Linked DNA regions of Rhinolophus ferrumequinum. The protein of the gene in region 2 interacts with the protein of the main gene of each other region in a pairwise test. Links are inferred from orthologs where the notes say so. Each region holds a gene or a part of one and is shown on either strand. Other genes may lie near its edges.

Region 1 (7,420 bases), on a different chromosome or scaffold from region 2:
TCTTGGGTTGTTACAAACAACAATATTTGAATGACTCTAATTTCCTTCAGTTGAATCTCAAAAGGAAAACCACAATAGTGAAGTTGAAAAGTAGCACAGAAACCTGGGGAGAGGAAAAGATTGATTCAAGAAGCTTCCATGGGGAGATGGCAGCAGGGCCTTGTGGGCGTTTTACTTAAGTGAGGAGAAGGATATGTTAGTGATGCTTTGCTTGTACACCTTTCTCTGTACGTCTGAAATCTGTATAAAGGCAAGTTTTGAACAGTTTAAATCTATAGAAGTCAGCTCAAAAGTGTGCCAGTGAGGCCCCTCCCCCCTATCAGCCCACTCTGGGGGTAAAGAGCTGCCTCCAGGACCCTTCTTTCCAAATACCCAAGCCAGACAGTGAATGCCTGGCGAGGCCGCCAAGAAGCTTTTCCTGGTTAAAGTCAAGTGTTCAAAACCCAATCCCTTCGGCCACTTGTATTCTGACCAGATTCCACGACAGACACTCCTCTGTCTCCAAAAGGAACACCTATCTCTACGGCCTGATATTAAGAACATGGGGCAGGGGAGACCCCAGTGGAATGCAAAACAAGAAAACCACAGCATGTCTTTCCTTGGAGACATGGTCAGGACACTTCAGGAAGTTAGAGAAGCAACAACCAAGGCCACTTTGGTGGCAAGGGCATGACAGGGGAGTGGCATCTGAAACAAGCTCACTATCCACCTTTCCACTGACACATGACTTGGTGCCGACTGCTCTGGGCCACGCGCTGCACACACTCAGAGTGAGACCAGGAGAAGCCCCACAGACGTGACAGATAGCCAACAGCGTTTTCCTGCCAAGTCATCAGAGATGTTGCAGTACATCAAGAGCACCGACACTTACTTCTCTTTCTCGGTCCAGACTTGTGAGTTTTCTAATCCAATGGTGTCGCCCACACCAAAGCAAGCCTCGAGTTTGCTGCTCATGCGAGGACTTAGAATCCTGTGTGTCTGTGGGTCTCGCAGAGGTGTCTGAAAAGTCACCTGTTGGGGAGGGCGGAGAGCACCTGTTCAATAGTTCAAGTTTCCAACCACCCCGCTGGCAGTGCTGTGTGCCCCGCCCGCTCAGTAAGTCACCAGGTCCCAAAGTGACACACGGTCGGTCTCATATGGGTAAAACGTTTACCTTCATAGCTTTGGCTATGCTCTTGGGCGGCACATTTTCTTTCTGTGACACACAGAGAACAGAGGATCTTCCGGTAAGTTCCAGTGGTGAAAACAGGAAGTCGCAGTTTTCTGTACTTCTGTCACCAGTGACATTTTCGTCATTGAAGATTTGCAGACTCATTCTGGAAACACAGTTTCTGTCAGCTTGAGGGCTGCGTCGTGCAGACGTGATGACAGCTGACCCTGCAGTGTCACAGGGAGATGCACCCGTCCAGCACAGGAGGGTCACACCTCAGGCAGCGTGTCCTCTACCAGTCCCTGTCCTGCTTTGGGGGACTGTGGCTCTTTAGCTGGGCTGGGGAGCTGCCACCACCCAGGACCAAGAGCTAGAAGGGCCTTCAGCCCACAGGGTAAGGAGGAAGAACGGATTCTCGCACTAAGTCAGATTTGGTGGGTAAGGAGACAGGTAAGTGCTGGCCTGGAGAAACTGCAGGAGAGGAAGGGTGGGGCTCCCCACAGGCCTCCACTCAGGGGGCCGGGGCCTCATCAGGGCTGGAGCAGGTGGCCAAGTCAGCAGAGAACAGAAAAGCAGAAGGGTGCTGAAGCTTGCTCCGTCACCCTCACGGGGCTGGAAAAGGGGGACCAGAAGAAGGTGTCAGGAGGGCAAAGGCCCAGGGGAGGAGTTGGAGGGAACAAGCAGCCACGGGCAGAATTACTCAGCAGGGCATTGAAGACCTTCTATATGAGGTCCTGGAATCTCAGAATCACACCAGGGGCCTCCAGTCAGGCCCACAAGGTTCTAGAACAGCCCACTCTTGCCAGAGTCTTCCACACGGTCACGGCCATGACTCCCAAACTAGGAGCTGCCATAGAGCTGAGCACCGACCTGCTCAAAGAGCACTACCGGAACTTGTTGATGGTGGGGGCCTTGGGGGCTGCTGCAGCACGGGGGCAGCCTGGAAATCAAGGTCAGAGTGGGAGGTGGGCAAGACCAGGGGCCCTGGAGGGAGTAGGAGCGGGGCCCAAGCCGAGGGGCCAGCCCTGGCGTGGCCAGCAGGCCCACCGCACTGTGCAAGAAGAAAGACAGGAGACAAGGGTGACTGAGGTTTCTGGCCGGTGTAACCGGTATAAGTGGGGGGGAGGGGGCAGTACAGCGATGGCGGCCTCTATCAGGGCTTTGGCTTCTACTAACGACAGAGACCGCGGGAGAAGCTCCCGAGCAGAAGCTGCCTGCGTGGAGTGCTGTGGTGGGGAGGGCGCGAGCCCAGGTGTCGCCGTGATGGAAATGGCTCCCAGGTGGGCCGCCCCCAGAGAAGGGAGGCAGGCCAGGCACAGCCGGGAATGAGAAGTCGGGTGGGGGACCAGCAGGGGGCTGCGGGCGGGGCGGAGATGTGCCCTCGCAAGTCGCCGCTACAGGTGGAATTTGAGGCTGGACGAGGTCTCCAGGGGGACGCAGGAGGCCTGCGGCCCGTGCCCTACGGACGACCCTTCTGGAGGGCGACCAGGAGACGAAGTAGCCGGAGAGCGTCGGCCGGGCTGGTGGGATGAGGACCAGGGAGATGTGCCTGGAAGGGCGGCGGCAAGGACGGGCGGCGGGGACCGGGAAGAAGCGGCCGTGCCGGCGGCGGCCCACGAGGAGTAGCCGCGGGAGGGGCCGGAGAGGGAAGTTAGCGACAGGGGTGGGGGTCGGCCAGCGCCCACCTGACGCCAGAGGGACCGGAGGGACTTCGCCGCCTTACCTGCCGGCCGCCGCACGGAGCAGACGGAGCGGGAGGCGCGGAGTCCCGGGTGCGTCCGCCCGCCGCCGATTCAAATACCGACGGTTGGCGCGCGCGGCCAATCAGCTCGCGGCCGTGGGCGGAACGCACGGGGCGCCAGCGGCCAATGGGAGGCCGCGCCGTCGGTTGCGCTTCCGGGGCTAGGGGCACGCTGGGCGAGGCGGGAGTCGGAAAGCCTCCCGGACCTTGGCTCGCCGAGCGGGCGGACGGGCGACGGCTGCAGGCCCCGCCGTCGACCAGAGCTCTCGGGCTCTGCTGCGGACGTGACTGGGTTGAGCGGAAAGGGGGGGCCTGAGCCGCTCGTCCGGGTCTCAGTTTACCCAGCTGTAAAATGGGACCAGGTACAGCTCCGCCCTCAAGGCGGGGCGTGAGGAGGAGCCAAACCCTTGGAGGACTGGCGGGCGGGTTCACAGATTACGCCAGTGTGCGGGGCGGGGGAACTCCATTTCCCGGAGTGCTCCGCGGGGTCTGCGTCTCCCAGAGCGCCCAGCGTTGCCCGGGGCGGTACTCCATTTCCCAGAGCGCCCCGCGGACGGGAACTCCATCTCCCACAGTACCCGGCGCCCATCCCCCGGCGCCTACGGGACCCGGACGCTCGGGCCTGTTCCCCGCGCCGTGGGCGGCGGCCTTGCCCCGACGGCTTGGTGGTGCCGGCGGCGGCGCGATGGACAGTCCCGAGGTCACCTTCACGCTGGCCTACCTGGTGTTCGCCGTGTGCTTCGTGTTCACGCCCACCGAGTTCCACTCGGCCGGGCTCACGGTGCAGAACCTGCTGTCGGGCTGGCTGGGCAGCGAGGATGCCGCCTTCGTGCCCTACCACCTGCGCCGCACGGCTGCCACGCTGCTGTGCCACTCGCTGCTGCCGCTGGGTGAGGCGCCTGATGCTCTTGGTCATTGTTCCCCTGGTGGACGGAGGCAGCTGGCCGGGTCAAGGGCTCGCGTAGCCCAGCCCCAGGGCCCCTGAGGTGGCTGGGTCGCGGGGTCACCTCCCTCTGGGGAATAGTCAGAGAGAATGCCGGGAACACCGGTCGCCCCGAGAGCCGAGGCTGTGGGCCGACTGCCCGTGTGTTTACAGCCGGCGACAGCTGGACGTTTGCAGGTGGCAGAGCCCTAGAGGGGATGTTTCCCCCAGCTGGGGCAGGTCGCCAAATGTTACGTGGGTGGCATTACCCAGGAGAGGAGCACAAATTAACTGATTCCAACACAGGGAGGAGGTGGCCTTGCCCAGGCCATGGAAGGTGGGTGTGGAAAGGGCAGGCAGAGATGGTTGACACCACGTGAAGGTGTCACAGGTGCAGAGACTGGAAAGCCTGTGTTTGGCCAGTATGCTCAGTGGTTATCCAGAGACTGTGCTGGGCGCTGACCCAGGTGCTAGCTGGCCCATGGGAGGCCAGTCTGTCTTCCGGTTGGTCGGGGGACTGGCTAAAGAGTGGGGTACTAGTCAGGATTTCTGGAGGACATGGCAGAAGCAGGTCTGGGACAGCAGGTGGCTGGTGGCCGGCCCCACCTGCAGCCCTGTGGACACAGGGAGTGGTTTTCACCTGGCAGCTGGGCACAGCAGTCCTGCGGACGTGGAGAGCAGCCGGAAGGGGGCTGGGCTGAGGCTGCAAGTGCATGGGGGCTGTCTGTGGGAATCCAGAATTTAGGTGTCTGCATGATTAAGGTGGCCACACATGGAAGAGGTGGTGAAGCCTGGTGGTGCCCAGACACAGGGCTGTTTTTAAATTCATTTTGAAAAGCTTTGAGGCTTCTAGATCGAACACCTATTGCAACTTAACAAATTATCCTAAAAGGTAGTGACTTGACCGACAGCAAACGTTTACTATTAGGTTTGCAATCTCAGACCTGCCTGTGCAGCCGCTCGCTATCTGCTTCATTCATTTATTTGACTTGCAGATGGCCCCCACCTGGCCTGCAGGGGCCCGGGCACTGGCTCCTGTGTTCTTTTGAGGTGCCCCCATCCTTCTCTGCTTACTGTCTGGCACATGATGGGCCAGCTTAGGATAAGCCTCCTCAGAGGGTGTGGGGTCAAGAGGCCAATGGGGGCCAGTGGGCAGCTCTGCAGAGGGTGACACCAGATCCTAGTATTTATTTTGCCTTTCTAGGTTTTTCTAGTTTTCCGTACTCACGTATTGTGTGAAAATTAAAAATGCTTTTCCTTCACTTATTGTGTCAGTGCCATGGGCAAGGGCTGAACCTGGCCAGCCGTGAGACTCACCTGGCCTCGGGTACACAGCCTCACCTTGGGAGCTGACCAGGGCAGAGTGCCAGGCCCAGGGCTGGGGACGCAAGGAAGTGGCCCCCTGGGTGGTGCAGGGGCAGCACTGCAGCTCTTGGTGAGCACCACCAGGGCAGGGCGAGGGCCTGGCATGCGACCTTTGCTGAGGCCGCCCCGTCCCTTGCAGGCTATTACATGGGCATGTGCTTTGCAGCCTCGGAGAAGCGGCTCTACTCCCCTAGCCAGGCCCCTGAGGCCTGGCAGCTCTTCCTCCTGCTGGCGGTGACCCTGCCCACCATCGCCTGCAGCCTCACCTACAACTGGTCCCGGGACCGGTGGGCCCGCCACCCACTGGCCCGCACCCTGGCCCTCTATGCCCTCCCGCAGTCAGGCTGGCGGGCTGTTGCTTCCTCAGTCAACACTGAGTTCCGGCGGATTGATAAGTTTGCCACTGGGGCGCCGGGTGCCCGTGTAATCGTGACGGACACGTGGGTGATGAAAGTGACCACATACCGTGTGCACGTGGCCCAGCAACAGGATGTGCACCTGACTGTGACAGAGTCACAGCAGCATGAGCTGTCACCGGACTCAAACCTGCCTGTGCAGCTCCTCACCATCCGTGTGGCCAGTGCCAGCCCTGCCGTGCAGGCCTTCGACATCAGGTAGGCACACCTGTGGTGGGGCAGGGCGGGCTGGGGCTCACGGGCGGGCGTGTGCCCAGCTTGTGCCCCATTCCGGTGTCTGTGTCCCTCTGGGAGGTGGTGATGGGTGGGAGTGGCTCCTCCAGTGTGACCCTCCCTCAGGGCCCCTCCCTGGCCCCCTGCCCCCCTCTTGCCCCCACAGGTATCCTCCGCTCCCCTTTCATGCACGTTGTCCTCTGAGCTGCTTCCATAGCTTCTCAGGGGAGCACACTGCGACATCTGGGAGCTGGGCAGCACAGGTGTGTTGCTGCCTCACCTGTGGGGCCTGGGCTGGAGCTGAGGTCCTCCATCTCTCAGGCCATGGCTGGCCTGCTGGGCCCCTCCTAGGACACGACTTGGAACCTGCCCAAAGCTCTGTGTCTCAGCGGCAGTCCTCCCACCCTTCCTGTGTCCCGTGGGGGCTAGCATGTGGTGCCGGGTCTGTGGGCTCTGGCCTCAGGGCCATCTTTGCTGGCTGGTTCTCACCAGGAAGGTGGGCTGGGCCTGGGTCCTCATGTTCTATGTGGCTGTGGGCCCCTCCATCACCCTCGGGGCACAGCCTCGGCCTCCCCTATGCCTGCCCCAGGGTCCTGCCAGGCCCCCTGGGAACAGAAGCCTTGGCCCAGCGGACTTAACCCGGCCCCTGCCTCGTGCAGGCTCAACTCCACGGAGTATGGCGAGCTGTGTGAGAAGCTGCGGGCACCCATCCGCAGTGCGGCCCACGTGGTCATCCGCCAGAGCCTCAGTGACCTCTTCCTGGACACGTTTGCCTCCCTGGTGGATGCCAATCCGGCCTACTCGGTCCCCAGCAGCCAGGTGGGGGGCTGGGCGGGGGCGGGTAGTTTCCCATAGCCAGATCCCCACAGGCCAGGTCCCCTGGTTGGGGGGCTGGGGGCCTTATGGGGGTGTCCAGCCAGGCTCCTGTGACCCCCTTGGGCTGCCCGCAGGAACTGGAGGCATGCATCGGCTGCATGCAGACACGTGCCAGTGTTAAGCTGGTGAAGACTTGCCAGGAGGCGGCCGAAGGCGAGTGCCAGCAGTGCTACTGCCGCCCCATGTGGTGTCTCATCTGCATGGGCAAGTGGTTCGCCAGCCGCCAGGACCCGCAACGCCCTGACACCTGGCTGGCCAGCCGCGTGCCCTGCCCCACTTGCCGTGCGCGCTTCTGCATCCTGGACGTGTGTGCCGTGCGCTGAGTTGGCCAGCCCCTGCCAGTGCCCCCACCGCTGCCTCCAGGCCAGGGCTCCCCCAATTGCAGGAGGATGAGGGCTTTCATCCTCTCTACAGAGGAAGTTCTCTGCTGAAGCTCAGGCGGTGGCGATGGACTGGGTCTTCAGCGCTCCTGCTGCCTCCATTTCCCACTCCTCCCGTGCGGGTGGGTGCTTGTCACAGAGAAAACCGCCTTGGGCCTATCTCCGAAGGATTCCAGGGGCCCCTGAGCTGTCTTTTCCCAGATGGCCCTAACCTGGGCCACTTGCCTTAATTTTATGGAGCACGTCTACCTGCTGGTTATATGCCAGACGCAGTTTCGTCCAAGACCAGCCATGATAAGTCCTCCTACTCCTGTTCCCAAGCCGGCTGCTGGCCTCACGGAAGCTGCTCTGAGGACC
Region 2 (6,916 bases):
GGACAGAACTTCAGACAACTCCACTCTCTGTCCCTGTGGTCTGGGTGGTGTTGACCCCACTTCCATCTGCAGCGGCAGCCACAAGACCTGGGTGAGGCCAATCAGAGACTTCCATTTACCTGGCAACCGTGATTGGCTCTAGGATAGGCACATGACTCAAACTAGCCAATTGGAGGCTGCCCTGGGAGGTTTTCTGAAGAAATTGGGATGGAGGGACCTGCTTTCTGATGGTTGTAGAGCTGACAGGAGGAAACCTGGGGCCTCTGAGGGCTCCATCCACTACCTCAAATGCCATACACACTGCCTGAAAATGAGGCCTCTTCCTAGGAGCTGAGAGATGGAAAGAGATTCTCAGAGACCCTGGTTTCAGCCATACCTGATGCTAGCCCTGCCTCTGGATTTTTTGCTCATGCGATCTAATCCATTGCGTCCCTTTTGAGTAAGCTTTTTGTCCCTTGTGATACAATAATCTCTAGGCACAGTCACTCACTCCACAAGTCCCCTTCAAACCATGTGTTGAACATTAGCAGCTCGTACGATGAAAAGAACTAACGTTCCCTGAGTACTTGCCATACAACAAACCCTGTGCTAAGCATGATCTCATCTCATCTTCCCAACAACCCAGGGTTTGAATCCTGTCTCTGTCATGTTCTGGCTTCATGGCCATGAACAAGTGTCTTGACCTCTCTGTACTTCAGTTTTCTCGTCTGCAAAATGGGAATCATTGCACCTCATTGGCATGCAGCAAAGGAATTCTAGTGTTTTCCCCCTGCCTGCCCCATGACCCGGCCATACCTTCAGCTCAGGCATGCTGCCGATGAGCTCGTAGGGCACCTTCACATCAGGGCAGTTGGTATAGTCGAGGGGGACAAGCTGGGGGGCCAGGTCCTGGTAGCGATAGAAGAGCCTAGTGTAGGGAGGGAAATACCAGGAAGTGCTGGGAGGTGGGAGGGAGGGGACTTGTCCCTCTTCTCTCACTCTTGCAGCTACTCACTCCACACTGAAGGATATTGGGTCCCTAAGAGCCATCAGTCCTGGGCCCAGCCTTCAGGCACACAGAGCAACACACAGGCACCTCTATCTCCCTGGGGACAAAGCCAAGGTAGACAGACAGTCCCAGAGCTTGGGGACACCAGACTCGGAGAAGCAAGCCAGACAGGATGAAGGACTTCCTGGAAGAGGGGTCATTGGAGCTGGGTTTGGAAGCATGACTAGGAGCTCACCAGGCAAATGGGCTTGACAGAAGGGAGAGTGCGTAGGGCGAGATCATTTCACAATAAGCATTGAGAGAATCTGAACCGACCTATGAATCTCTGGACGTCATCACTTTGTCAGCAAGACCATGTTTTTAAAGACCCTCCTCCTCATTTTCCCTCTCCCCCTCCATAATGGGAGGCAGGATTCCCTCAATGAGGCAGAGCAGAGACAAAGGCTAATATTCAGGCTTTTCAAAAGGGTAACTGAAAGGCATTTTGGAAAACACCAAATGCCATACCCACTACCTCGACTGGGAGGCCAGCTCTGAACTATGATGCACTCACCTGGTGACACCATTCCTTCATTGGGCCCCTGAGCAACACCCTAATAGAGATTTTCCTTGATGACCTAATAGAGAAGTCCCCACGCTGCTAGAGACTGTCTCAGAAGGGGACAGGAGCCTTTGGGTCATACGGTGACTAGGTACTCAAGGAAGGGAGTATCTGGAATCCGGTCTTGACCACCGGATGGGTCCCCTCCAGGGACAGCCCGAGTTTGAGGTGCTGTACGGCCTTGAGCAAGTCCCTCTTCTCCTTTGAGCCTCAGTTAGTCTGTCTGACAAGCGAGAAGCTTGGGATAGACGAAATATCCGCCCTCAAACTCGTTGGGACTCATCCCATCTGCAGAGTTGGGGTCAGCCTCCCCTGTCTGAGCCTCAGTTTCCCCATCAGTAATTCGATCATCATAGCCGGGGTGACCCTGCGAGCTGTCTTCGCCCAGACAATGGGGCTCACTGGTGAAAGGTGTGCCCATCAATAATGGATGTCCGTTGCCCACACAATTGGGCCCTTGGCCCCGATCACTCTGCAGCCGAACCCTGGCCAGCTTGGGTTTCACAGCTCCAAGTTCCTGGGTCAGGGCCTCTGGACAATGGCTCCCTGGGCCAAGTGATGATGTGGGATACCCATTTATGTCTGTCTCGCTCACACCAGGGACCTGAAACAGCCTCAGGGCGCCTCCCTGTACCCTCCCCTTGACGTCAACCCCATAGCCCAGAGCTGCCTCTTGACTCTGCAGCTGTGCCCCCAGCCTCTAGTCTCAGCCTCTTCACACAGGCCTGGGGGGTGGGATCCTTCTAACATGCTGACCTGTCTCTCCCCTGCTCACACACTCTCCATGACTCCCTGCCACCCTTGGGAGAAAATCCAAGCTCGTCAGCCTACAGGCGAGACAATAAGATCAGATGTGGCTTCTCAGCCGCCCCATCTCTGCCTCTGTCCACTGACCATTAGCTCTCTAACTGCCACGAAGCATTGGCCCTTGTCAAATTCCAAACATCCTCCAATACCGTATAGAAAGCTGTTTCCGGGTCTTCCTCCCTTCCTCCCCAGACTGACCTCATGATTTCCTTCCTCGTGAAGAAGGTACAGTCCTGGGGAGAGAGACATTGGCTTGGCCCAGCCCCTACCCGGGCTTCCTCTCCCCACCTCCCCCTGCTCATCTCTGCCGATGCCACACACAGAGCTGCACCAGGAACCCTTGCTGACTGCCCACCCAGGACCAAGGGATGCTGCCCCCATTCCTCAGGCCAGGAAACCAAAGCTGCCCCACACATTACTCCCACCTGATACGCTTCCAGCTGCTCATGAGTAAAGACTGTCTGCTTGTTGCCCATGATGAAGGCCACCGCCAGGAACAGGCTCCTGAAGCCCCCAGGCTCCTCAGGGCCACACGGTTGCCAGGCTGCCACGCACCAGTGTCTAGGCAAATCTCCCTGCCCTGGCTGTCACCCGCCCACCCGCCCCATCACCCCAAGCCTGGGTGAGACTCAAGTTACAGCCAAGCTCTCTGGCCAACAGTCTGAGTATGTCCACGGCCACCAGGGCAAGAAGAAAGTCTGTGGGAGGTCACAGAGCCTCAGACCACATCTGCCATCACCAGGTGGGCTTGGGGGGAGGGGGCACCTTCCAGAGACAGGCATTATGGTGGAGAGGCTTCAAGCATATTCCAGCTCAAATACTAGTTCTCTACCCACTAGCTGTGTGGCCCCAGGCAAGTCACCTGACCTCTCTGAGCCTCATTTTGTAAGATGGAAATTATTTTTGTACCTACTTCATAGAGTTGTTCTGAGATCTAATGAGGGCATTAATGCAACCAAAAAATTGGACTTATTAATCACTGGGCATAAAGTTTCAGTTAAACAAGATGAAAAACTTGTACAACATTGTACCTGTCATCAACATTAATGTAGTGTACACTTAACAATTTCTGAAGACAATAGATCTCATGTTAAGTGTTCTTGCCACAATCAAATAAAATTACAAAACATGCAACTATCATATGACCCGGCACTTGCACTCTTGCGCAGTCCCAGAGAAATGAAAATTTATGTTCATACAAAAACCTGTAATGAATGTCTTATTCATAATAGCCTCAAATGGGAAACACCTCATATGACATTTCCCCTTAGAACATTAATTATCAGTGGAAGTAATATTACCCCAAAGGAGACAAAAAATTGGTTCAGGGTGGGGACAAGAAAACCTTAGATATTTCAATGGTTTCTGGCCCTTCAAAGCTCTACCCTCCCTGATAAAATCTTATTCATCAGTATTTAACTTTTCTTATTAAGTGAATTTAAGTTAAAGTGTTCTCTTTAGGTGTTGATAATGAAAAAAAGGTTGAGAAATACTGTCTTAAATGTTTGTAAAATATTGATGCATCTACGATGGATGGCTTCATAGTGTCGTGACAAAAGCAGGGATGGAACACTCAGCATAGGTTGGATTCCAGTTTGTGCCTCAGTTCCTCTAATAAAATCAGGATGGTTTATGTAACAAGGTGGCTGTGAGAGTAAATGAGATGATCCATGTAAATCCATATAAAGTATTAGCTGTTGTTTTCATCACCCCCATTTTATGAGGAAAGGGAAGCTCAAAGACTTCAAGCCACTTGCTCCAGGGCACACAGTCTTGGAAGCGCTGTAGACGAGCTCCAAAATTGCTGGGTTGGCTGGGGAGAAGAGATTTCTCCACTTGAGTTTCTCCTGTGTCCCTCTCTGAGGAGTTGATTCTACCATGGATGGACCCATGAGGAAGCTGGCACAGGCTGGCAGTCCCCCATGGTTCTCTGTTGGCATTCTCATCCAATTCTGAAATGCTAAAAGGTGAGACTTTGGCTGGAGAATTGGGCAGCCGCTTGCTGCCCCCTGCAGGTAGAACTGGGAAATGCAGGCACCGAGCCCTCCTTGGTCCAGTGTCGTCTAGATTTGGGGATGCTTGCTTTTTCTACCTCCTTCATCCCCTACCTTTCCCACCACCACCCTGCCCAAGTCCCTGGTACAATTTGGGCAACAGTACAAATTAAAATGCGTATTAACCATTGAACCGTCAAAATATGGCAATAAAAAAGAACAGGCTATCCAAATACATGCAAAACACTCAAAAAAGCGTTGGGTGTTAAGAATTGGAGTTTGTCAAATTGGTTTCAATTGTCTAGAGGAACCCAAAAGCGGAGAAACCATAAGTGGGGCCCAAAGCCGGAAGTGTGGCACAGGGTGCAGAGTGGCCCATAGCGCCTGACTCTGCAGGCTCAGCCCTCAACCCGGAAGTGTGGCCAAGGACGCATGCGCAACGCCTAGCTGGGCCACTCAAGACCAAGGGAGGCAGGCGTTCTTCCGGAAACAGTGAACAGGAAGTGTGGCAGTTTACCTGGCGAACTGCAGACAGGCGTCATGGCGTCCTACGAGCAGGTCCAAAAGGGGCCCTTGAAGCTGAAAGGCGTTGCAGAGGTCGGCGTGACCAAGCGGTGAGTCCCGAAAGCCCATCGTCTGCCCCGTAAGCCTTTTTCCGACACCCCGGGCTCTTGCTCTCTGGCCGCCCTCACTCCATCTTCTGTTTTCCCTCCCAGGAAGAAGAAAAAGAAGGACAAAGACCAGGCGAAACTCCTGGAAGCGATGGGAACGAGCAAAAAGAACGAGGAGGAGAAGCGGCGCGGTCTGGACAAGCGGACCCCGGCCCAGGCGGCCTTCGAGAAGATGCAGGAGAAGCGGGTGAGGCGGGTGGAAAGGCTGGGGATGCCCCGCGCCGCGGGCCTGGGTCTCCGGGGTGGGTGCTTAGGAAAAGCCCGGAGACTCGGAACCGGGACAGTCCCGGGATGCTTGGAGGAGGGCGAGCGGTCAGAAATGATCTTAATTCCGGGGGAAAGATGCTGAGCAAGAGGAAGAGTCCGCGTCTGAGGGAGCTCGGACAACGGGAAGGACCTTCAGCCCGAGGGGACAGCAGAGGGGAGAGCTAGAGATGGCGTTGAAAGGAGCCAGAGCTGGAGACCGGGTTTGTCGCTCCTTTGCCCTGTGACACTGGGCCAGTGACTCATCTTCTTTCCGTGCCCCAGTTTCCTCATCTGTAGGGGTCAAGATACGTACTTTTTCCTAAAAGGAATGGGAGCTTTGTGATGGCATGTAAAGCATTTGTCACTAGGTCTGGTATAAAGTCATTGCTCAGTTGATGTTAGCTGTTGATGTTAAATGGTCGTGCTCCCTGCTGTAAGTGTCCACAAACTCTGTTCCCGTGACGACTTCGTTGGCAGATTCAAATATGTTGTTTTTAAGTGTCTGTTATTTTTCTAAATATCGATAAATGTGGGTGGTGGGGCATAGGAGGGGGCAACGTTAGATAAGCTTGGCCCGTTACGCTGGGGGGAGGGACTAATAGGTCTCAACTGAGGGCCATTTTGTCCCCCTACTTCCCTTCCCAAGAAGACATTTGGCAATGTTTGGAGACATTTTTCTTTGTCATAACTCAGGAGGGGAGCTGCTAGCATCTAGTGGGTGGAGGTCAGAATGCTACTCAACATTCTGCAGTGCTCAAGATAGTGCCCCTACAGGGAAGAACGCAGTACCCAAAATGTCAAAGCACCAGGCTGAAAAACTCTAATCTTGGTCTGGGTGATGCCGTCAAGTGACATGGGGAAAATTGTACTTATTGCTCTCAGGCTTAATTCAGTAGTACAGAGAGAGAGAGAGAGAGAGAGAGAGAGAGATGAGAAGCACTGTCTTTTGGGTTCCAGTCTTGGTGGTGTAACTCTGGGCAAGTTGGCTAAGCTCCCACACCTCAGTTTCTTCATCAGGAAAGTGGGGCTTAAGTCCCTACCTCGTAAGTTTTTGGTGAGGATTTAACAAGTGAATGTACTTAAGTCCCTTCCCACAGTTATAATCAGAGGCAGGCTTGGGCTATAACTCCTGGAGCAGGAATGGAGTGGGGAAGAGGCTAATGCAACCTACAGTGCGATTAATAGTGGCTTCTTAGAGGTGGGCAGTAATAGTGGAAGCTATGGAAGGTATCGAATTTGGGATAGATTTGGAAGGAAGGACAGCAGGATCAGCTGATGGATTGCGTGTTGCGTGTGGGCTGGGAAAGAAGAATCAAGGATGACCAAGATTTTGGGCAGGAGAAGCTGGGTGAAGGAAGGTGCCATTTACTGAGATAGGAAGGACTGTGGGTGAAGCAGGTTTCTAAAGGGAGGGATCAAGACCTTGGTTTTAGAGAAGTCAACTTTGAGGTCCCTTTTAGTAATCCAAGTGGAGAATTCTCGTGGAGCGTTTGATTTCTGAATCTGCAGTTTAGTGGAGAGATCTGAGCCCCAGATAAACATCGGGGAGTTGCTGTAGAACTGGATGACCTCCTCTGAGGAGCAACAGTGACAGAGAAAAGGTATAAGG

The links.
Region 1: the proteins of CIB3 (region 2) and TACC3 interact in binary tests that used the Homo sapiens proteins (3 or more experiments, as listed by UniProt). The two-hybrid records come from large-scale screens. The link is inferred for Rhinolophus ferrumequinum from reciprocal best matches to the Homo sapiens genes CIB3 and TACC3.

The regions. Positions count from the first base shown.
Region 1 is NC_046288.1:87,242,409-87,249,828, forward strand, and holds the start of TACC3 (transforming acidic coiled-coil-containing protein 3), read right to left. Parts: upstream 3,007-7,420; 5' UTR 2,874-3,006; intron 1,378-2,873; exon of another isoform or gene 1,317-1,377; 5' UTR 1,316-1,316; coding exon 1,154-1,315; intron 1,012-1,153; coding exon 872-1,011; intron 1-871. Other genes in the region: TMEM129 (E3 ubiquitin-protein ligase TM129), read left to right, coding at 3,244-3,781, 5,318-5,792, 6,467-6,626, 6,758-7,006. UniProt on the Homo sapiens protein: Plays a role in the microtubule-dependent coupling of the nucleus and the centrosome. Involved in the processes that regulate centrosome-mediated interkinetic nuclear migration (INM) of neural progenitors.
Region 2 is NC_046301.1:49,780,204-49,787,119, forward strand, and holds the start of CIB3 (calcium and integrin-binding family member 3), read right to left. Parts: upstream 3,023-6,916; 5' UTR 2,873-3,022; coding exon 2,822-2,872; intron 2,630-2,821; coding exon 2,595-2,629; intron 908-2,594; coding exon 796-907; intron 1-795. Other genes in the region: protein FAM32A, read left to right, coding at 4,931-5,004, 5,107-5,248. UniProt on the Homo sapiens protein: Acts a an auxiliary subunit of the sensory mechanoelectrical transduction (MET) channel in hair cells. Plays a role in regulating hair cell MET channel localization and function.